Linked DNA regions of Ovis aries. The protein of the gene in region 4 interacts with the protein of the main gene of each other region in a pairwise test. Links are inferred from orthologs where the notes say so. Each region holds a gene or a part of one and is shown on either strand. Other genes may lie near its edges. The genes, in order: ZMYND19, FNDC3B, TBX6, TOX4, ATXN1 and BANP.

Region 1 (4,017 bases), on a different chromosome or scaffold from region 4:
GCCCCAAGCCACCTCGCACACAGCCTGGGGGACACCGCTGAGTGGGCCCAAGCACTCCGGAACCTCAGCGTTCACACAGAAGGGAGGACGGCTCTTCCCCGTGCCCCACCGCCAAGCTCAAAGGGACCTAGAAGGGGCCAGACTCCACCCGCCTCCAGAGGCGCTGTGGCCCGAGTGCTGGGAGCAGGAAGGGCACATGGCCTACAGACTCTCAGGCCACCCTGCCAGCGCCAGGGGACGCAGAGCAGCCATCCTTCCAGGCAGGGGCAATGACAAAGACGTGACTGGGAGGCCTGGGCAAGGTATCATCTGTCGACGAGGCAGAAGGGCCTCTGGCTGCCCAAGCCCCTCGCACCGCAAGGCTGGTGCTAACCCAGAAAGGGAAGCAGCAGCTTGGAAACACCTACCACAGCAGCTCATGAAGGAGCCGTCCCGACCCCCTCCCTCGGTTTTTGTCAAAGGCATATGCAAATATCTTAGCACCATTTCCATCTGCGTCTACTTCCATCCGGGCCTGAGAAGAAACAAGAAAAAGCTCTGTTAAAAAGCCTGCAATTCTCCACAACATTCCAAATTCCTCTTAGAAAAACGAAGGAAACAAGCCAGAGGGACAAAGGCCAGGCCTGTTCCTGGGACCTTGGTGGTCTCTGGAGGCTTCCAGACACGTGGCACGGAGAAGTACCCGCCTACATGAAGGCAAGACACACTTAAGAACCACTCTTTGCAAAATACTGTGGACGTGGACACAGGGAAATAAATCTCCCTACCCTTAAAAAAAAAAGTCCCTAATCCAGTAAAAAAAAGGTAAGCCCTGGAACAAGCAAGCATAAAAGGGTGAAGGGTGAGACAGGAGTGGGCTGGGTCTACAGGGTGGAGGGAGGAGCAGGCAGGTGAGGACTGGAGCCCAAACAGCCAGGTAAGAACAAAGGCACCGGGCCCTGCAGGAGGCCGAGGCTGGAGAGGAGGTGGGGCAGTCCTGGACAGTCTCCCTGGGCACAGCAGTTTATCCGACTGAACTCAATCACAGACATGGCACCATTTGTCTCTTTTTTGGGAAGAGCCTGCAAGCAACGTGGAAGTGAGAAAGACAGCAAGCATCACGGAGGCGGTGGGGGGGGGGGGTCCACACTGACAGACAGGTTCCCTGGAGACCAGGGTTCTGGACAGGGCTTCACCCGCCTGCTTGAGCAGCTCACATGCAAGGGCCTGCCTCACGTCACAGGGGTGAAGACCTACCCCTCATGACCCCCCTTGGCACGACCGTAGGCAGGCCAGCAAAGGAGCAGAATCCTTACCTCGAACGAGTAGCCCTCCACCAGCGGGATGTCCTGCTCATCTATCAGCGTATACTTGGTCTGGAAATTAACGTTTGAAGACGTCACATTTGGAATCAGCACAGGGCACTAACAGTAGGCAGGAGCAGCCCTCACGGGCTCAGAGCGGCCAATCCACCCTGAAGGCAGGCAGATGTGCCAAAGGCCGCTCTCTCCCCACTTAGCACAGCGCACAGCTGTGGCGCCAGGCCCCACCTGCCGTCTGCTCACGACTAGCCATGAGAAGTGCCTGAGAACTAACTGCTCATCCACTAAGCTGTGCGTGTCAATGTGTCCATAAGCCCAGTCCGAGACCACGGTGTCACAAGAATAGAGGCAGGGCCCCGGGATTGAAGCAGAATATCTGGAAGGTTCCAACCATCAGGCAGGCGGCACACAGGTGCTCATGGAACTGTCCCTCCTATCTCTTCGTCTAACACGTTCCAAGTAAAAGTTTTAAAGGATGGCATTACTGCAGACAACCGCTGAGTTGCAGAGATCGCAAGGCTAATAAGGAGCCCACCCTTCCGTAGTTAGAAAGTGACTGCCCTTTGCGGGAGGGCAGGAAACGGTCCCCGAAATGGACCAGTCTCACTTTCGCTTGGAGAGCTTTTTACTAGTTATCTGAACCGGCTTTACCTTCATCTGACTGCCTCTGCTCCTCTCTCCCACCAGAAGCTTCCGCCGCTGGTGATGGGAACAGGGTTCCCATCCAGGGTAAGGTCCGTGGCTGGTTCAGCTGCACGGCCGGCCGGCTCCTGGAAACAGCCAAGCCTCAATGCCCACAGGTGCCAGGAAGCCCCAGCCTCGAACACGCGGAGGGCGGGGCCCGGTAAGGGAGAGAAGCAGAGGGAGGCCCCGCTCGGCCGAGGCCAACTGAGGCTCAGCCCGACGGGGCCGCCGCGAGCAGCCCGAGCCCTGCGCGAAGCTCACTACGGACCCGCAGGGGCCGCCGGAGACCGAGCGCGCTGCCCCGGAAGGGCCTGCGCTCCCCGCGGCCGCAGGCACAGCCGCAGCCCTCGACCCACGGCGCACGGCCGGAGCCGGCACTGGACCAAAGCTGCCCCAGGAACCAGGCCGCCGGCGAACCTAGGGCCTGTGCCCGTGCGTCCCGCCGCGCTGGCCGGGCCCTGCGCCCCCAGCCTCGCACCCCCGACGCCGACTCCGACTCCCAGCCCGCGCCCGCGCCCCCCAGCGCCGCTCAGCCCCTAGCCTCACCCCAGCCCCGGCCCTCGGCCCCGGCCCGGCGCCCCACGCCTCCCGCCCGACGCCGGCCCCAGGCCGCGCCGCGCACCTTTCCGGCCACCCGGCCGAGCCGCACGATGCCCAATTTGAAGTCGGTCATGGCCGGGCCTGCGCTCGGCCGGCGGCGCCGCTCCCTCGGGAGGTGCCGGGGCGGGGCCGCGGCGCGCCGGGCGGGCGAGTGGGGGCCGGGAACGGGGCCAGGCGGGCGGGCGGGCGGGACGAGGCTGGGCCGGGGTCGGGCCGCCGCCGCCGGGCGCCCGCCGGACCTGCCACGCGCCGCCGCCGCCGCCGCCGCCACCACCGCCGCGCGCACCTCCGCGAGCGGAGCCAGGGGCGGGGCGCGCGGCGGACACACCCCCGCCCGCCGCCGCCTGGCCAATCGCGCGGCGCGCAGGGCGCCGGCCGGCGCGCGCCGCCACGCCGCAGCCAGTGGCGGGAGGGCGAGTGCGCAGGCGCGTTGGGGCGCGGCGAGCGCGCCGGGGAGGGGCGCGGCCGGGGGCGGAGCCTGCGCGGCCGCCCGGCGCTACGTCAGTTTCGCGGGAAGCTTTGTGCGGGAGGGTGCGCCACCCGCTCGCAGCGCAGACCCCCGAGCCCGGCCTCGGCCCGCGCAACGGGCGGTTTGGCTGGGCACCCTGGGCCGTCCGGGCCCTGCAGGTCGGGGCTGGCTGCGGCTCCCTGTGACTAGTCCCTGGACAGAGGGCTGGAGGCCGGGGTGGATTCGCGGATCCGGAGTCCCGGGGCCCGTATGACTCCGTGGCTGGGTCCAGTGCCCTCGGAACGTGGGAGCCCAGCGAGCGCTGTTGGCTGACCGGGAACTGCGCCCGCCCTTCTCCCTGGCCGCCTCCGCGCATGGGCCGGGATCAGGATCCCATAGCCCATGCCTGTGCGACACGATCCTTCCCTGGGCTTCGAGAAGGGGCGCTGAAAAGCCTGCTCCAAATCCTTCCCGAACAGGAACTCCCAGACCTGACGATTCGGGGTCGGGGGTTGGGGGTATACCTGTCTCCTGGCAACCACTCCAAATGGCTCTCGCTCCCAACCCCCAATGAAACCGCTCTACACCGGTGCACCAAGCAAACCCCTGCTCCTGTTCTAGCGAGGGAGGCAGAAAAGGCCCATGACCAGCGAGTTACTCGCCTTGTTAGAAAGTGATCAACGCTGTGGGGAAACGAGTAGACCAGCATCAGGGAGTTGGAGGCCCCGGGAAAGTGGAGGCGGGGTAGATCTCACTGCCAAGTAACCTGAGCAAACTGGGGGGGAGAGAGCGGGTGAGCTCTGCGGGCTCCAGGGGAACAGCATCCCCAGCAGCGGGGAGAGCCCAGTGCCAAGGCCCTAATCTGGCCCCAGCTGGGCGTTTTTGAAAAGCGGAGGCGGTCTCTGTGAGCCAATGAACGCATCAGAGCAACAGGGCACATGGCCAGAGAGGTGGAGGTTGGGAAGGGTGTGGGGTCTGGGGAGC
Region 2 (3,500 bases), on a different chromosome or scaffold from region 4:
TCCACATTCTGTTTAATGTACGTGGGCTTGGGTTTGTGAACGCCCAGCCCTATGGCCCATCCTCCTGTTCCTGATGGTGCCGCAGGTGCTATTCACCCCCTGCCCTCAGAGGGTACTGTTCTAGAAAATGTTTCAGAGCAGGAATTCCCCAACTTTATTCATAAAATAAAAGTTGTGCTTAATAAAGAGGTTAAACCAAGAAACTCTTCATTAGGTAGCATATGTATCCTCCTCACCTTTACCACCCTGTCGTGTGTGGGTCCTGGTGTTTTACAGTCTCAGCTCAAGCTATGTTAGCATTTCCTGTCATATTAATGATTCACAGCATGTAAAATTGCAAATATAAACTTGCAGAACTCTGTTAGACTATTGTTCCCCATCACTTAATATCTAAATTAAGATGTTATGCCAGTTTGGGGTTCTCTAACTTGATTTAATATGTCCTTTGGTTTCAGGTTAAAAAGATTTTTCTCCCCTCTAATTCTTGTCTTTACCTTGCATTAGAATGTAAAGGAATTGCCTAAAAGTTCTATGGTTTTGGAATCATTTTGTTCATATCATTAAATGTGCTTGCTTTGAAAAGTATGGATAACATCATTAAGAAACTTTCTTTTGTATCTCTTTCTCTTTTTGAAGTGGGGGTTCTTTTGTAAATATCAAGGACAGGCTACCTACATGATATTTTGCAAACATCATAGAATGTAAGGTGTGATAGGGCCAACCAGAAATAATAAAAATGTTCTAAGATGAACAGCGTTCTCCATTCGCAGACGTTCCTGCCTCTGAAAGTGGCTGTGAGGTCTCGGAGTACAGCGTGGAGATGACAGAACCGGAGGATGTAGCTTCGGAGGTGTACCATGGGCCGGAGCTTGAGTGCACCGTGGGTAACCTGCTTCCAGGAACTGTGTATCGCTTCAGGGTGCGGGCTCTGAATGACGGAGGGGTGAGTACTTATCACGACAAAAGCATGAGGTCCTGGCACTTCCATTTCCACCCTCCTAAAATTCCTCATCTGTATCTGTCCAACGATGACAGCCATTAAAGAACTGTACGTAAAACCTTATTTCTGAAGAAACCCTGCTTTGGTTTCACGTAGACCCAGCATTGGAAATTTTGATTCTTTTGTCCTCCTGTTAAGACAGAGCTCAAAGTTAATAAGGACTTTGCCGTTTAGATGCCTTTTGGTGGTTTCTTAAAATAATTTCCTAGATAAATCACTTATGAGAAGTTAGAACTACATAATATTCCTTTACCATGTTGTCTAAATTACTCAGCAGTGTCTTAGGTGAGTTTTTAAAACTCCACTGGGGTATAGGCTAGGGAGACCAGCTTATTTGTTTTTTTTTTTTTAATTTCATAGAACTCTCTGGTCCTTTCTAGTACTCCATTTGAAGTTGTTGAGGTGGGCTATTCAAGATTGAAAGGGTCTGACTATATGCACGAAGGTGACTGGATTTTTTAATTGCAGAGTGATGTGGATTCATAGTGAGAATAAAGTGACCCAGAAACTATAGGGCTTTTTGGTGTGTCACAGATGGGCAGAAATGTAAAAGAAGGTGGAAGGGTGTGGGTAGGGCAAACTGCTGCTAACGCCCTACAGAGAGCCAATGAAGTGTATAAATGCATTCTGTACAAATAAATAGATGTAATTAATCAATGAGATTTTTGTAAGAAAGAAAGCCAAACGGACAGTGACAGGAAGTTGGCAATGACTTTTCTAGTTCTTGGTGTTCATTCATGCCTTTCAGAAGTGAAGTGTTTTTGTCTTTAGTCCATTTTGAGTTAGCCAGGCCTTAGTTTGAAAACATTTGGTCTGAAGTAGGATCACAAACCTTGAACAAGAGCTGGATCTCTTCTAATTCACCATTAGGAAAGAATTTCAGATACAGGTATTTACATTTAAAAAAAAAAACACACACACAAAACTAGACAATTAAAATGTATTGGTGAGAGATAAGAAAGCCTCTGTACCCTGACTTTTTATAAGTAAAAAGAGGATGGATGGTGATAATCACCCATACTGCAGATGAAACTCTGGTGCTTTTCCCCTTCAACTTTTGAAGAAGATATTCGCCATGATAAAGACACATGTGCAGCTGGACTGATTGGGGTTTACTTTCTCCTTTTACTAATTTGTCATTTAAAGAAACTATCTCAGCCTTATTTTTAAATCCTGTTATATTGAATTTGAACCATATATTTGACTTGTGGTCCTCTTCTGTGGTCTACTCCAGACAGTTTCTCCCCCACCTTCAGTATATTTGCAAGTTATATTAGAAAATGTCAAAGACTTTTTTTCTTTATGTTTTTTCCTCCATTTTGAAAAACACAGTCATATTCCTCATTCAGTTCAGTTCAGTTTAGTTGCTCAGTTGTGTCCAACTCTTTGTGACCCCATGAAACACAGCATACCAGGCCTCCCTGTTCATCAGCAACTCCCAGAGTCTACTCAGACTCAGGTCCATCAAGTCGATGATGCCATCCAGCCATCTCATCCTCTGTCATCCCCTTCTCCTCCTCCCCCCAATCCCTCCCAGCATCAGGGTCTTTTCCAATGAGGCAACTCTTCGCATGAGGTGGCCAAAGTATTGGAGTTTCAGCGTTAGCATCAGTCCTTCCAATGAACACCCAGGACTAGTCTCCTTTACGATGGACTGGTTGGACTTCCTCATTAGCCTGAAAATTACTTTACTCTTTGCCCCAGTTCTTTTAAGTACCACATATTCCACCTTAACGTGGGGGTTCTGGTCCTCTCGATGCATTTTACGTCTATAGAGATGATTGTCTCTGAGCAGTGTGACCGCTGATGGTGGAGGAGGAGAGAATGCAGTATAAAGCTGCAGATAGTTGAGATGGTGGGCCTGCCAAGCAAACATTAATAGGACTGTTGGTTTCAAATTGAAAAATACCAGTGACTAGAAGAAATACTCAAAATTTGATAACCAACAATTCCACACAGATTTTTAGGCCTTAAGCTACAGTATGCATCTGACTTGGTTTAGTTTGAAATGCCCTGAGAAATTAAAGCACAATGCTGTGATGTAGCAAAAGTCAGCATTTTTTATTTCTTAGGTCACAGCAAAAATGTATAATAAACCAACTTTCTAATCCTTTAGAATTAAAAAAATTTTATATATATATATATATATATATAAAATAGACATTTACCACTCAAGTAATGTATGTGGGAAGAAAATCTACTCATGTAATTGAAAGTGAACACCATTAAGTAATGCTTTTAATCAGTTGTATTGATGATACCATTAGCCTAGCCCTTGTTTGGTTATAAGCTTGTGTTATATGCACACACACACAAACACACACACTCCTTGTTTGGTATAAGCTTGTGTTGTGTGCACACACACACGCACGCACATCCCTAACACACCCCTACAAGCACATGTGTGTTTCTCTCTTGCAGTATGGTCCCTATTCTGATGTCTCAGAAATTACCACTGCTGCAGGGCCTCCTGGACAGTGCAAAGCACCTTGTATCTCTT
Region 3 (2,809 bases), on a different chromosome or scaffold from region 4:
CAACTGGTGATGGAAGGTTACAAGTGGCACTTCAACGAGACTGTACTCACTGTGTGGTCGGCACCCAACTACTGCTACCGGTGAGCTGCCTGGGCTGGGGAGGTTGAGGTAGGGATCCAGGCTGAGCCACGCTGTTAACACTGCTGCCCCCGCCTTCCCCCCGACTTCCAGCTGTGGGAATGTGGCAGCCATCTTGGAGCTGGATGAGCATCTCCAGAAAGATTTCATCATCTTCGAGGCCGCTCCCCAAGAGACACGGGGCATCCCCTCCAAAAAGCCTGTGGCCGACTACTTCCTGTGACCCCTTCGGCCCTGCCCCCCTCCGGCCCCCGGACCACTGTGACTCTGCCCTCTTCAGACGGAGGCTGGGCATGGGGGGGGCTGTCCCCGGCTTTGCTCTCCCTGCAACAGAGGGCACTTCGAGGGTGAGGACTTTTCTGGAGAGGCTGGGAGCCTCAGTTCCATGCTCCTCCTCCCGTCTCCCCACTTGAACCATGAAGTTTCCAATAATTTTGGTTTTCTTTTTTTCCTTCTTTTTTTTTTTTTGGTTTGTTTTTAGATAAAAATTTTGAGAAAACAAAAAAAAAAGAAAAAAATTCTAATAAAAGAAGAAAAATGGTCTTTCGGTTGGTGTTGACTGGGTATGAGCAGTGGTACCGGCCTTGGACCTGGGATTTATATCAGGACTTTGATGCCCCAGAACCCTAATCCTGCCAGCAAGGTGAGGCTCAGGCCGGTTAGCTTGCCCAGAGCCTCCTGGTCCCCATCCAGTGACAGTGATCACTGCTGGGGGTTTCCTGAGTGCCAGGGAGAGGGCTGGGTTCTCGGGCAGCCCTGTTTAATTCTCAGAATGTCATGTCAAGACAGATTCCTCCATCTTCCTGAAGAGGAAGCAGACCCTGAGCATTGACTTAGTTAGATTCACAAGGTCAAGCAGCTGGAAATGACAAGTCTTGATTGGGGCCTGCGTCTCCTCACAAAACCTCTGCTCAACCAGCCCCACTCAGGGCCAAAGACCATAGTGTTTCCAGAGCACTGACGTCTTTCGAGTTTTATTAACAAAAATACTCTGGACCTGAGAACAGACCCGTGTGGCTCGCCCTGGGGAGGGGGTAGGACTTGTAGAGCCCAAGGGTGAGGCTGGGGGTGGGAGTGCTGGTCCCAGGCCCCATTTGGCCAGGCAGAGCCCCTCCATTCACACCGAGGTGAGAGCCTGGAAGGGGAAGCTGGCCCCAGCTGGACTCCCAGCGGCTTAGCCAGAGCTTTGAAGCCAGAGGGGGTGGGAGTGAAATCAAAGTGTGAAGTGGGGTGGGGGAGGCCCAAGGCAGCCATTTGGTGTGGGGGAGGGGGTAGTGGAAGTGAGGGGGCAACAGGCCTGGGGGAAGGGAACTGGAAGATGGGGAGGGAGGCAGGGGGCTTAGCAAAGGCTCAGTACATTGGTTTGGAGCCCACATCCAGGTAAGCTCCAGGCCCAGGGTAGGGCAGTGGGAAGGGGCCCCCTTGGAGGAAGTGCGAGGCAAAGGATGCTGAGGGTGCTGCTGCTGGGTATCCTGAGCCTGCTGGCCCGGGCTGCAGCTCCAGGAAGGCGGCTGAGTAGGGGGCTGGGCGCCCAGAGTCTGGAGCCTCCGGGAAGCTGGGATTCCCGAAGAGCGGAGAGGTATCAGGACAGGGGAGAGGGGACCACCCCCTCGTCTCAGCCTGGAACAGCCCAGCCCTGTGCCGCTGACCCACTCACCTGATTGGAAGGTGACTGGGGGCCCCGTGGAAAGCGGCAGGGTGCAGCAGGTAGGCCTCAGCACTGGGGCCACTGCAGGGAGGAGCTGGGGCAGGGGCAGCTTCCCCAGGCACTGGGGCCTGCTCTGGATCTGACTCCCGAACATCCCCACCCAGTGTGGAATCACAGGGACCACCTGGAGCATCTGGGGAGACAGAAGGGCCAGAGCGGGTTAAGGAGGATCGGCATCTCAGGCCTGGTCCCATCACCTCTGGAATGACACTCACCTCCACTCCCATAGCCTGCTGTGGCTGCCGGCTCTGGGCCCCGCAGTTTCCTCTTCACACGGGCGTCTCGCTCCCTGGGGGACAGTGATGATGATGGTGATGATGATAATGGTGATGATGATGGTAATAATGGCACTTACCAGGTGCCAGGCACTTCACCCAGGGACCCTATCAGGTAGGTGCCATTATTATACCCATTTTACAGAAAAAGGAATAGAAGGACAGAGAATTAAATGACTGGAAAACAGTAGTTGCTTAGTTGCTAAGTTGTATTGGACTCTCTTGTGACCCCATGGATTGTAGCCCGCCAGGCTCCTCTGTCCATGGGATTGCCCGGGCAAGAATACTGAAGTGTGTTGCCATGTCCTTCTCCAGGGGATCTTCCTGATCCAGGGATCAAATTCACATCTGCATTGGCAGGCAGGTTCTTTCCACTGGGCTACCCTGATAACTTGTCAAGAGCGATACTGTTACATTTATCATATTCATCAGGGTGATCCTTAAGTTAATATCTCTCTCTTCTGCCTGATTCTAAGTGTCTTGAGGGCAAGGGCCAGCTCTGAGGGGTTAGGGTTAGTTAGAAGAAGCTAATGTCCTAACCAAAACTTTACAGCCCACCATAATCTGGCTCCTATTACCTCTCACTCCACACCAGCCATACTGTAGCATGCTCCTACCCCAGGCCCCTGGCATGTTCCCAGATACTCACATGGTTCCCTTCCATACTTCCTCCGAGTCTTCTCAAATGTCCTCTTAGTGAGGCCTTTCCAGGACTCATCTCTCCAGTCCTGATCTTTTTGCTTTCTTT
Region 4 (3,500 bases):
CCAGGAAAACCACCTAACCAATTTACAGAATCATAATAAGTAATAAATTACTTCTGTCTTAAGCTACTAAATTTGTGGTGGTTTACTGAGCAACACATAACTGATATAAATTACCTGTAATATATTCAGTTTTTGTTTTAATGATTAAGTAGCAGACTTACTTTGATATAACACCTGTTGAGGCTAGGGTAATGATAATTACATTCATCTTTCATTTCAATTGTATATTTATGTAGTAACACAATTTTCATCTGTTTAATTCAGGTTAAATTTAGGGAGGTTAACTATAGTTCTCAAGTTTATATGAGGCCAATGAAAAACTCCAAACTTGGCTGTGGATTCAGTGTTTTTTATAATAATTTTTATGTAGGTATTCTGGATTCAGGGTATGGCTGCAATTTTTAAGGCTGCTGCTAAGTCACTTCAGTCGTGTCTGACTCTGTGCAACCCCACAGACAGCAGCCCACCAGGCTCCTCCGTCCCTTGGATTCTCCAGGCAAGAACACTGGAGTGGGTTGCCATTTGCTTCTCCAATGCATGAAAGTGAAGTTTTAAGACAGATGATCTTGAATCCCATTAACAAAGAGTTGGTATTAAATAACATCTGAGAAAGTTAAAGCTTAGGTTTAATCCCCTTGCCTTTTTTTTTTAACCAATTTTTAAAAAGTTATTTTGCTGCACCAGGTCTTAGTAGCGGCATGTGGGGCCTAGTTCCCTGACCAGGGATTGAACCTGGGTCCACTGCATCTGAAGCGTGGAGTCTTAGCCACTGGACCAGCATGGAAGTCCCTATCCCCCTTATTCTTAAGAACTTCTATAACATTGTTCCTCGTTATTTGCTCACCTGTTTTTGCTCTTCTCCAAGACTGTCCCACATAGAAGCAACAATTTTTGAAACCTCTCCAAAAGTGGCATTGGGATTCTGTCCCTTGATGGCAGCCTGTGTGTCACGAAAGAATAAAGCATATGCTGAAACTGGTTTTTGAGGTTCATTAGGATCTTTCTTTTTTCTCTTCTTTGGAGCCTTCTGCTTTTTCCCTGCTTCCACCACAACTGTCTTCTGGCTGGGAGGTTGCTGTGAGGAGAAAAGAGACAGAATTATGAGGGAAGTATCACATCTGGAGAACTGACAGAAAAGGACTTTTAGATGGGGTAAACTAGTCATATGAATGGAATTTTCAGAAATGCTAAATAAAAACAGAGGCAAGAAGATTAAGGCTTTAGTAAAGTATGTGAAGACTGATAAGTATGGGGGTTGGAAAAAGCATTATAAACTGTAATAGAGGCAGGACCCCATAACCAGAAAAGAGCAGAGAAGATGGCAGGGCAGTAGGAGAGAAAACTTAGTTGGATCTATATGTCAAGGGTTTTATCCCAGTGTAACATGGCAGATTTGATTTTGGCAGAGAATGCCTTACCCTCCGGAATTCCTCAACACCATCCTCATGAAGTGAACCTGTAGGTGAAGGGGTGGTTGAAAGACGATCCTCAGGTGACTGGGCAGGTGGCAGGATGGTGCCACCCCCTAAGCTCAGACCAAGTTGAGAACTCAGTTCTGACTGATCAATGGTGGTCAACTGGCTATGCCCCATCAAGCCAGATGTCATGTCTGTCATTGGTACATCAATTGTAACCGGTGGGTTGGCACTATACTGAGTTCCTATAGAATGATCCAAGTCCTGAGAGAAGCAGAAGGACAAATTAAACAGTAAATATAAAAAACACCACCTTTCCCGTCCCTGCACCTGAATTCAGGACAGTTTATAAACCCTCTGCTTACCCAGAATGCATCATCATTTAAACTAACATCAAATAATTTATCTACATATAAAACATACTAAGCTTTTTAATAAGTAGAGAAATTACAGGTTGTGTACTAAGTCACTTATTTGTACTTAAAGGCCTATTCCAAAATAACTAAAAACAGCCAAAGAAGTCTTAATTTGGGGCAAGTTCAGAGCAAGTAAATCATTCAGTAATCTGGAGATAGTGATGACACACAGGGGAAAGAAAAACTTTATCCCTGTACCCTCTTAAATAATGGCTGGGTAAAGTTCGATGCACAGGCAAATCAGAGTAAAGCCAATGTTAGAAGAGATGTCTGGCATCAAGTGTAGTGTGTGTCGACGTGCTGATGAGATGTGCTAGAAGCCCAATACACTGAAACACATATTAATCCTCTTAATCCACTCATGGTTCAGACAGGTTTTGAATACACCCCTCAACATACCAACAATCATACTCATTTGAACTGTAGAATGTGAAAGCCATAATGTAATAGGGAAAAAACTTTTCTTTCAAAAATCCAATAAATAATTTTCATTTCAGGGTTAACACTGGACATTTTACAGTTTTAAAACATGTTTTTTAAAAAAATTGATTCAAATGATAAATCTCACTTATTCAAGGGAAGTGAGGTCTTTATTAGCCTTTAGTCAGAAGAATGAAAAATAATACCCAAGGGAATTAGGTAGGGCATACAGAGTCACTTGTATCTCCCCTAACACCATGCCCATGAGGTTGGGTAAGCCTGATAATGTCTTGCCCCTTACCATGGTCAAGCCCCCACTCAGGAGCCCCCCGCCCTGCTCCATTAAGCCATGGGTCATGCCCACAGGCATGTCCAACGTCTGGACCCCATACTGGGCTGAAAAGCTGCCATCCTGAGAGGAGGAAGGGTCTGCCAGGTCATCAAAGTGGCCAACCACATCTGAGACAGCCAATGAGGGATCAGAATCCAAGGAGATAGGTGGGATTTCAAATTCCTCATCACCCAGGCTTGGTGTGTGGAACGTCTGTAGGGAGGGAAAAAAGGAAAAAGATTTAGTGGAAAGAGGAGGAGTTGCATACTGCTAGAAGAACGTGCCTGAGTACTAGACATTCTTAGTGTACTTCTTTTCAGCCTGGATCCCATTTTTGTTATCAATATCTTAGGACTTATTTAATTTTAAAAATAAGTCTCTTCTTCCTCATATCTTTGGCCGTATGTCATGTACAAAGCTGCCAATATCAAAATCACAGTTTTCAATTCACGTATCTCTCTTCTGCCTTTATCATCTTGGTTGTCCTAAACTATTTTGCCTGTTGGTCTAATGAATGATTCTTTCAGCACCATTAATAATGACTCAACCTTTATAACCTATTTTGTTATGATGCTTAAAATCTGTCTGAAGATTCTAGGATACAGCAATTATTTCATAATTACTACACCTGAACTGTTAGACCACAGAAATTCACCGTCAACCAGACAATTAGACTTTGTTGTTTTAGGGTCCTCTGAAGCAAATCCTAAAAGGAACTGTCACGGGGACCTTATGCACTTCTAAAATATATGCACTTGAGAGTTTCCTACCTCTTTTCTGTTTTAGAAATCATGATTTGTACAAAATTCCTATATGTATAGGATTTTCAGAAAACCCAACAATGCCAACCAAAATAAGGATAACAGTGAGGAGAAAAACCTTCATAAGAGATATAGCCAGAGGGCAAACTGGTTCTCT
Region 5 (4,085 bases), on a different chromosome or scaffold from region 4:
GCTGGTGGAAACACTGACAGTTCTTTAACCATGGTATTATAAGGAGAGTGGTAGCCTATATATATCATTTAAAAATCTGAGCAAACCATAGCGTGCTTACAAAACCAATATGCTTTCCTTAGACTGCACTTCCAAATAAAGCTGAGAGACCAGAAAAGTAAAATAAACTAAAAACAAAAGTGAAAACCACTCACACAATAGACTCTGAGGTCAACTCACCACACCCAAACTGAAGTCACTGGGCTCTGTCCTTGGCATGGAGACTCTTAAAAGACATGCTTCTGAATCAGCTTTCTTGACCCTCCACCAGACTGTAGCAGCACAGGCTTCTGGGTAATGAAAGTGACATCAGCAATGGTCAAGAGTGAAATTAAAATCATTGTGTTTAAACATCTGCTGACAGTTTATGACTTAATAGTACACATATTAGGCAATTTTAAATAAGATTCTGTCTACAGTGAAAACAAAAACAAGTGCTTTAGCATAGGTCTGTACTGTCCAATATGATTGTTAAGCACTTGAGATGGGCTGTAATTGTAAAATATACCTTGGATTTTAAAGACTTAGAACATGTACATACATGCACATATATACACATAAGTTCATATAGTATCTCAATGTTTATATTGATCAAATGTTAAAATGAAAATATTCTACATATATTAGGTTACATAAAAATATTGTTAAAATTAACTTACCTGTTTCTTTTTACATTTTAGTGTGCCTACTATAAGATTTACAATGACATGTGTCCATTATGCTTCTAATGCACAGCACTAGTAAAGTCAGTGGGGCTGGGGAGGTGCAGGAATTAGTTCTAAGAACCATAATTGGAGATCTTATTGCAGTAGTGTAGTAGGTGATTTGGTTACTTTTCTACCTTCCTGAGATTCCCCCCTTGCAGTGTATAACACTGCCCTTGAAAAGTGAGTGTTAGTCACTCAGTCATGTCTGACTCTTTGGGACCCCACGAACTGTAGCCTGCCAGGCTCCCCTGTCCATGGAATTCTCCAGGCAAGAATACTGGAGTGGGTTGCCATTCCCTTCTCCAGAGGATCTTCCTGACCCAGGGATTGAACCCAGGTCTCCTGCATTGTGGGCAGATTCTTTACCAACTGAGTCACCTGGGAAGCCCAACATGCACTTTACCCCTTATTAAAATATCTCTGAGAGTAAGCTGTTGGTAAAGGCATAATCCTGAGATATGCTAGGCTTAAAATTTGTTAGGCTTTATGTTAGACTAAAAATTTGTTAAGAGTCAGTCTCTCAGGGTGGGGTAGGGACAGGCTTCAGATACTTTGCCACCCTGGGAAGCTGATGGAAAACTCGTTCTGTGTTTTAGAAAGCACACGCTTTCTGGAGTGACAGCTGAATGGTTGAGGGTGACATCTTTTAATAAGAAATGGCTTTAGGCCATTTAGGTGTGGATAATGAAAAGTATACAGTTACTGCTTCCCTAGAAAACAAATCAAAGCCAAAAGGAAATCTGTGGGTTTTTTTTTAAACAATTTCTAATATATTTACTACAATAGCATATGTCAAAAGGAAATGAGATGAATTTTAACCATTACCATTTATTTTGCAAGCAAGACCTAGATACATTTTCATCAATATAACTATTATCAACATTGAATGTACTGCAGTGACTTATAAAATAACAGAATTTGTGGTTTTATGCATCTATAGAACATAGCTCTTCTTACATGAAATTGAACAACATTTTAAGGCTCAGAATGAGTGAGTTGAACTTTGCTCAGTATTGGCCAGGAGCATTTGGAAATCTATTAAAAACACGTCATTAACAACTTGGCATTTTGTTTCCTCAAAAGAAATACATTTTCCAAATTAAAACCAAAGCCCAAAGCCACCATTGTTTACACTTAAGATAGAGGCAGTTGATGGGTTGTGAAGGTAAAGCTTGTGGTGCCTTCAAACTAAGATCAGGGACAATGATAGCCATCAAATTGTTATTCTGACTTCAAGACATTAAAATACATAGCTATAAGCTCTCACCGTGCCTTTGTTTTTCTTGAGTCAGTTTTGGCTAGGAAAAGCTGATCCAAATGCAGGTCAGAGTTTAAGACAATTATTTTATGAGGAATTTACCAAGTTTACCCCAAAGAGGAAGAGCCAGAGAAAAATGCATTGGCAAACTTTGCCTTTTGACATAAACAACTAGAGGAAACTGTCCGTGTCAGGATTTCAGCAGGGTTTGTCAGGCAGTTTGTTATTTGCAGAAGCCCTGTGCTTCAGGGCCGCTCCAGAGTTTAACTGCTGGGTAACTTTGGGGAGCTCTCAAGACTGACCACTGAAGATCCAAATTTGCTTTGCGCCCTGGCACTGACATGGAGCGATTGCTCCTGCTATCCATGCTGACCGAGCAGACTAATAGCACTCAGACTTCAACTGTAAATTACAAACAATCCCTTTTTAAGTACAAAAATGAACGCACAGAATGGAGGACCCTGTCAGCTAGAATGCCAGTAAATCAAGCAGAAAAAGACAAACGGTTCACTTACACCACTTACAGCCAGATTCTTGTTCTGCTAGCCATACTGTCATGGGAGAACTTTTCTTTTTCTGTCAGATAAAAAGAGAAATTAATACCCCCATTGTAATTCTAATCAACATGCCAGCCATCAACGGAGGCATCTCCTCTGAAAGCCGATCAAGCTTCAAGGTGATGCTTCCCAACCCCTCCCCCTATCTCTGGTTTAAAACTTGTAGCTGAAATACCAATAGTAAGACCATGTGACCCCAGCACTCCCAGCGCCAGCTTTTCTGCAGTCAATTTCATAATGACTTCGCTCCGCCTCTCAGCTCAGCACTTCCTTCCCCCTCACTCCTCTCGCCCCCACCCCCAGCAATGAATCATCGCGCATTTAAAGAGACTTAGATGACCCAGCGTGAACTTTACTGGCATCCTGTACATTCTTATGCCAAAAAAGGGAGTTGCTCTGTGGCAGAAACCTCGCCAGATCCCAGTGCTGATCTGAGAGGCAGCGAGATTGGGAGCTTATCTAGGAAGATCAGTGAGGAGTTAATTTTCCTAGATCCTGGTGGTGATTCAGAATTGCCTATCTCAGTTCACGATCAGGTTTTTAAGAATCCAGTTGAGCTCTCTGTGCAGAAAGGAATATATCAGAGAAAAAAATGTTGGCACATCTCCTTTATGCAATCAGGGCAGAGGAATTTATACCACATCAGCCTTTTGATTTCTTCGGATCTGGCTGAGGGCGGGGTTTCCATATTTGTGCTTTGGCAAATGTGTCCAAGAACGAACTCCCCCTTAGAGATGCTCCTAGTGTTCTTTCAGGTTACTGTGAGCTGATTTGTGCATTTATCAAAACCAGAAACATCTCTGCCCCTTCCTTTCTTTAATACCATTTCTTAGTAACAGAGATTAAGCAGACAATCTGGGCCTTCCTTACAGAGACTCTTCACCCTACTTAAGGCATAAAGGGTGGATCGCCTAAATAACATTGTGCTTTTCCATATACTTTCTCCCTACCTGGGAAGCCCTTCTTTGCAGGGCAATTTTTATTCCCATCCTCCAGGATCCAACCCAAGCACCAACATTTCTGCGAAGTCTTTCCTGATTATCACAGGAGTTTGTGGTTCTGCCCAATGTGTGAGTCAGCGAAGTGCTATTTTCTTATTCTTTTTATTTATACAATTTTTTTTTAACTCTGACAGAAAAGAAAAAAATCAGGGCCGTAAGCACAGATGGAAAGAGTCTCCTAAATGAGAGCGTCTCTTATCTAATATTTCCTGTTACTCCCAAACCCGTCTGACCTCCACTTACAATTTCACATGTCACTGTTTTCCTTTTATCGCTCCGTTTATGTGGCACCCCTCACTAGTCAGTTCTCCGTGAGAGTTCCCATTGTTGTGGGTTGAATTTTGTTCCCGGAGAGATACATCTAGTCCCCAGTGCAGGGAGTATGGCTTTATTTGGAAATAGAGTCTCTCCACATAGATGGCGCTAGTGATTAAAAAAAAAAAAAAACCCCACCTACAATGCAGAAGACACCAGAGACGCTGGTTCAACCCTCCCTGGGTTGGGAAGATCTGCTGGAGGAGGG
Region 6 (4,076 bases), on a different chromosome or scaffold from region 4:
TCCAAACCAGGAGAGGGTGAGGGTTGTGCCTGCACATGGAAGTCAGGTCCCTGTACGAAGAGCTGTACAAGGGCCGTCCCTAGACCAAGTGGAGCAGCCCCCAGTCAAAGGCATCTTCCTTAAGCAGAGAGGCCCAGAGAAAATCTGCCTTCTGGCATTTGAGGTCCCAGCACAACAAAAAGTTCCCCAAAACCCAATAGGAAACCTGCACATTTTCAAAAGCAGTCCCACGGGGGAATTCCCTGGTGGTCCAGAGGTCAGGACACCATGCTTTCACTGCTATGGGCCCAGGTTCAATCCCTGGTTGAGGAACAAAAATTCCATAAGCCACCATGTGAGTGTGACCAAAAAATCAGCCCCCCAAACTCATGAGTTCTCTGCCTGCTTCCTCTGGCCTTAGACAACAATAATTCCAGTATTTGAAGAGTACTTGCCACACAAAGCAAGAAGCCCGTCTTTTTAAAAAGAGGAAAAGAACAGTGACACAACAGAACACAAGAAATCAGAGAACAAAAGGGAACCAAAAAAACCCTTACTAGTATCCCCAAAGTCAAGGAGAAAAATGCATTCATCAAACAATACATTATTATGAAAAAAGAACATTATAAATCCTTAGAAATTAAACTTTGATTGTGGAAATGAAAAATTTTTAAGTAGGACTGGAGGATAAATGTTTCTATCCCAGAAACAAGAATAAGATGACACAGGAAGAAGATAATGACAGAAGATTCAGAGGGTTAATCCAAGATGTCCATCATCAAACTAACAGAAACTCCTAAAACAGAAGAGTAAAAGCAGAGCTGGAGAAGGAAATAGCAACCCACTCCAGTATTCTTGCCTGGAGAGTCCCACGGACAGAGAAGCCTGGTAGGCTACAGTCCGTGGGGCCACAAGAGTCGGACAACTTAGCGACTAAACCACCACCAAAAGCAGAGCAGAAGACATTCTCAAATGACACAAGACTTTCAGATTCCAGAGCTGAAGGACAAGTCCCCAGAGTCAGAAAGCAGTCAGAGTAGGACTCTACACAGTTTTCGGGAATTCCGGAAATGTCTTAATACCAAAGAGGATCCTGAAGAGTTATCCAAAAGGAATAAGGCTACTTGGCAGTAGGTTCTCACTGAAATAAAGGAAGTCAAGATTAAAACACGAGACCTGAACAAACTCAGTTGTATATAGTAAAAAAAAAAATGTCAAGATGATACTGGTGCTGGTCTAAGGAGTAAACAATCCAGATTAGAAAAAGACCACCACAAGGCTGGGGAGAGGGGGATGGTAAGAGAGATTTAGTGCCATCCTTCAGAATCTAAAACAAGGTAAAGTGGGACTTCCCTAGCAGTCCAGTGGTTGAGACTCCATGCTTCCATTGCAGGGGGAACAGGTTCAATCCCCAGAGAACTAAGATCCCACATGCCTCGGGGAATAGTTAAAAAAATAATAAAAGGTAAAGAGTCAACAGGAACAAAAAGTGCAAAGAAAAAGAAAGGCCATCACAAACAACAGAAAAAAGCAAAAACCCGTATAACAGGGGAAATAGACTACCTAGCTGTGAATATCTGCTTAGTTATAAACAATCTGAACTGAACATAGTGATCAGGGGATAGAGGTGAGACGCGATATGAAAAAGTCAGTCATCCTATCTGTTAACAGCAAGTCAGGAATGTATAAAACCAGTAAAGTGCCAGCTTATTATTTATAGCAACGAAGAACTTCCTCATGAAACAGCAAAAATATAAAGTCTTGGAGGAGTGGAACTGGGAGGTGGGGTGGGGGCTGTTGTTTTATAGTCTTCCATTGACACTTTGCGGCATTACTTTATTAAAGTATCAAACGTGTGCAGTTTTTTCAGAACATGGACTTGGGACAGATCGCATTCAAACCTGGCCGTGTGACCCAGGGAAGCCCCTTCCCTCCGTGGGCCGCAGCCACCTCCCTGTCCCCCTGACCCGACCGCCGCGATGAGAAGCGCTGGAAACGCCGGCGGGACTGGCCGCAGCACTGGACCCACACACGGCATCAGCTTTCTCAAAATTGGAGCCGTGACAGGACCCGACGTCCCAGGAGGAAACGCTTATTTTAATCGCCAGACAAGGGGGGGCAAAGGAGCTTTAAACACACGGAGTTAACGTTACCGGCGGCTCGAAGATTCCGAGCACCGGGCAGGGGTCCCCAGGGCCGCTCCTCACTCGGGCCCGCCGCCCGCCCAGCGAGAACAGCCGCCTCCCGCACTTCCGCCCGCAGCCGCTGTCCCCGCGTCCGCGGCCGCCGGCCTCCCGGGGGGGAGCCGCCTAGCCGCCTGCCAGCCCGTGGCCTCACGACCCGGAGCGGCTACACCGCAGCAACAGCAGCGCGACCCCACCCCGCCCGCCCGCGGCCGGACGCTGCTCTTGCGGGCCTGGTCCCGGAAGGGAGGCCCGCTCCGCGACGGACCCCGCGCACCGCGACGGCGGGGGCGGCGGGCCGGGGGATGGGCGGCCGGAGCCAGGTGCGGGTGCGCTGAGGCGCGGCGGGCAGGCGGCTTGACAGGGCTGAGACGGGGGCGCACAGGACGGCGGGCCGTTGGGGCCGGTGGCCGTGTCGGGGGGGCGGGGGCGGCGGCGCGGGCGCCGCGGCCGGAGGAGGGCGCAGGGAGGAGGGAGGAGGGGAGATCTCGCTCTCGCTCTCGCCCCGCGGGAAGGGGGAGGTGGAGACGCGACCGGCTGCGGGAGCTGCAATTACCGTGTGGGCTGCGGAATTCTCGTGGTGTTTGTCGGGGAGATGCGATAATGGCGTCCGTCCTCGCGAGAGAAGCCGCCGCTCTGCGCAGGCGCCGCGAGTCCCTCCCCGCGGCCCTCCGCCCTGCACCATCTGCGCAGGCTCACCGGGAGGAGGAACGGGGACGGGGCAGGGCGCGAGGGCGGGGCCTGCTGCTCGGAATCTCCCGCCCGCGCTGGGCTGGCGCCGACGACCGCCGGGCATGCGCACGGGTCCTGCATCCTCGCCACAGATTGGCCTCCAAACTTCTTACTTCTCTGTCACGCGTTCAGGCTTCTCACTAGCCCCTGAAAAGTCGCGTTGGTGGACCGTTCGGGGAATTTGCATTTTCTTTGAGGCCTAATGAATAGGAATTAGCGCCATAGACGACTACATGTCCCGGAGGGCCCTGCGCAAGCCTCGAGCAGTGCATTCTGGGACTCGTGGTTCCTGCGTCTGCGCGAAGCCTGCTGGTACTTGTGGTCCCATCCCCCCCGACCCGTGCCAGCGCATGGAATGCTGGGACTTGTAGTTGAGGTGTGCAAGGCCGCTGCACCGGGCGCGGCTCTGGCCACTGCTGCAGCGGGGTTCCCCTGAGTAGCAGGCGAGCTCAGGGGTTCCCAGGTTCGTCACAGGTTCAAAGACACGCTCCTAGAAAAATATATATTAATTATATGTGATATATATTTTATGTGTAATTGATGTTATGTATTGTGATGTTTGTTATGTATCCTTAGAAAAGGCAGAGAGGAACCAGAGATCAAATTGCCAACATCTGTTGGATCATACAAAAAGCAAGAGAATTCCAGAAGAATATCTACTTCTCCTTCATTGTCTATGCTAAAACTTTTGACTGTGTGGATCACAACAAACTGGAAAATTCTTATTAAGTGACAGTGAAGTCCCTCAGTCGTGTCCGACTCTTTGCAACCCGTGGACTGTAGCCCACCAAGCTCCTCCGTCCATGGGATTCTCCAGGCAAGAATACTGGAGTGGGTTGCCATTTCCTTCTCCAGGGGATCTTCCCAACCCAGGGATGAAACCCAGCTCTCCCACATTGCCGGTAGACGCTTTAACCTCTGCACCACCAGGGAAGCCCTTAAATACAAGAATACAGTCTCTCAGAAAACCTCCTATAGAGACACAGAACTTCAGATCCAGGTACTAACATCAAAGATTTCAAGGGAGGAAAGGAAGCCAGGTTGAAAGAAGAAGGGGGAGGAGGCAGGAGAGGGGGGGACGAAAGGGGTGGCCTTACAGACATCTCCTGCCACCTACAGATGCCCAGGTATTATGGGACTTTTCCCTGGCCTCCAGAGAAGGGAGGACTGAAACTCGACCCT

The links.
Region 1: the proteins of TOX4 (region 4) and ZMYND19 interact in binary tests that used the Homo sapiens proteins (3 or more experiments, as listed by UniProt). The two-hybrid records come from large-scale screens. The link is inferred for Ovis aries from reciprocal best matches to the Homo sapiens genes TOX4 and ZMYND19.
Region 2: the proteins of TOX4 (region 4) and FNDC3B interact in binary tests that used the Homo sapiens proteins (3 or more experiments, as listed by UniProt). The two-hybrid records come from large-scale screens. The link is inferred for Ovis aries from reciprocal best matches to the Homo sapiens genes TOX4 and FNDC3B.
Region 3: the proteins of TOX4 (region 4) and TBX6 interact in binary tests that used the Homo sapiens proteins (3 or more experiments, as listed by UniProt). The link is inferred for Ovis aries from reciprocal best matches to the Homo sapiens genes TOX4 and TBX6.
Region 5: the proteins of TOX4 (region 4) and ATXN1 interact in binary tests that used the Homo sapiens proteins (3 or more experiments, as listed by UniProt). The link is inferred for Ovis aries from reciprocal best matches to the Homo sapiens genes TOX4 and ATXN1.
Region 6: the proteins of TOX4 (region 4) and BANP interact in binary tests that used the Homo sapiens proteins (3 or more experiments, as listed by UniProt). The two-hybrid records come from large-scale screens. The link is inferred for Ovis aries from reciprocal best matches to the Homo sapiens genes TOX4 and BANP.

Annotation. Positions count from the first base shown.
Region 1 is NC_056056.1:398,259-402,275, reverse strand, and holds the start of ZMYND19 (zinc finger MYND domain-containing protein 19), read right to left. Parts: upstream 2,801-4,017; 5' UTR 2,659-2,800; coding exon 2,608-2,658; intron 2,072-2,607; exon of another isoform or gene 1,959-2,071; coding exon of another isoform or gene 1,953-1,958; intron 1,356-1,952; coding exon 1,296-1,355; intron 515-1,295; coding exon 408-514; intron 1-407. UniProt on the Homo sapiens protein: May be involved as a regulatory molecule in GPR24/MCH-R1 signaling.
Region 2 is NC_056054.1:215,866,093-215,869,592, reverse strand, and holds part of FNDC3B (fibronectin type III domain-containing protein 3B), read left to right. Parts: intron 1-770; coding exon 771-943; intron 944-3,421; coding exon 3,422-3,500. UniProt on the Homo sapiens protein: May be a positive regulator of adipogenesis.
Region 3 is NC_056077.1:26,714,251-26,717,059, reverse strand, and holds the end of TBX6 (T-box transcription factor TBX6), read right to left. Parts: intron 2,076-2,809; coding exon 2,002-2,075; intron 1,920-2,001; coding exon 1,736-1,919; intron 1,634-1,735; coding exon 1,429-1,633; 3' UTR 501-1,428; downstream 1-500. Other genes in the region: PPP4C (serine/threonine-protein phosphatase 4 catalytic subunit), read left to right, coding at 1-80, 172-301. UniProt on the Homo sapiens protein: T-box transcription factor that plays an essential role in the determination of the fate of axial stem cells: neural vs mesodermal. Acts in part by down-regulating, a specific enhancer (N1) of SOX2, to inhibit neural development.
Region 4 is NC_056060.1:24,030,969-24,034,468, forward strand, and holds part of TOX4 (TOX high mobility group box family member 4), read right to left. Parts: intron 2,796-3,500; coding exon 2,553-2,795; intron 1,680-2,552; coding exon 1,419-1,679; intron 1,076-1,418; coding exon 845-1,075; intron 1-844. UniProt on the Homo sapiens protein: Transcription factor that modulates cell fate reprogramming from the somatic state to the pluripotent and neuronal fate. In liver, controls the expression of hormone-regulated gluconeogenic genes such as G6PC1 and PCK1.
Region 5 is NC_056073.1:39,589,978-39,594,062, reverse strand, and holds the start of ATXN1 (ataxin-1), read right to left. Parts: upstream 2,801-4,085; 5' UTR 2,520-2,800; intron 330-2,519; 5' UTR 220-329; intron 1-219. UniProt on the Homo sapiens protein: Chromatin-binding factor that repress Notch signaling in the absence of Notch intracellular domain by acting as a CBF1 corepressor. Binds to the HEY promoter and might assist, along with NCOR2, RBPJ-mediated repression. Binds RNA in vitro.
Region 6 is NC_056067.1:12,929,279-12,933,354, reverse strand, and holds the start of BANP (protein BANP), read right to left. Parts: upstream 2,801-4,076; 5' UTR 2,133-2,800; intron 1-2,132. UniProt on the Homo sapiens protein: Controls V(D)J recombination during T-cell development by repressing T-cell receptor (TCR) beta enhancer function. Binds to scaffold/matrix attachment region beta (S/MARbeta), an ATC-rich DNA sequence located upstream of the TCR beta enhancer.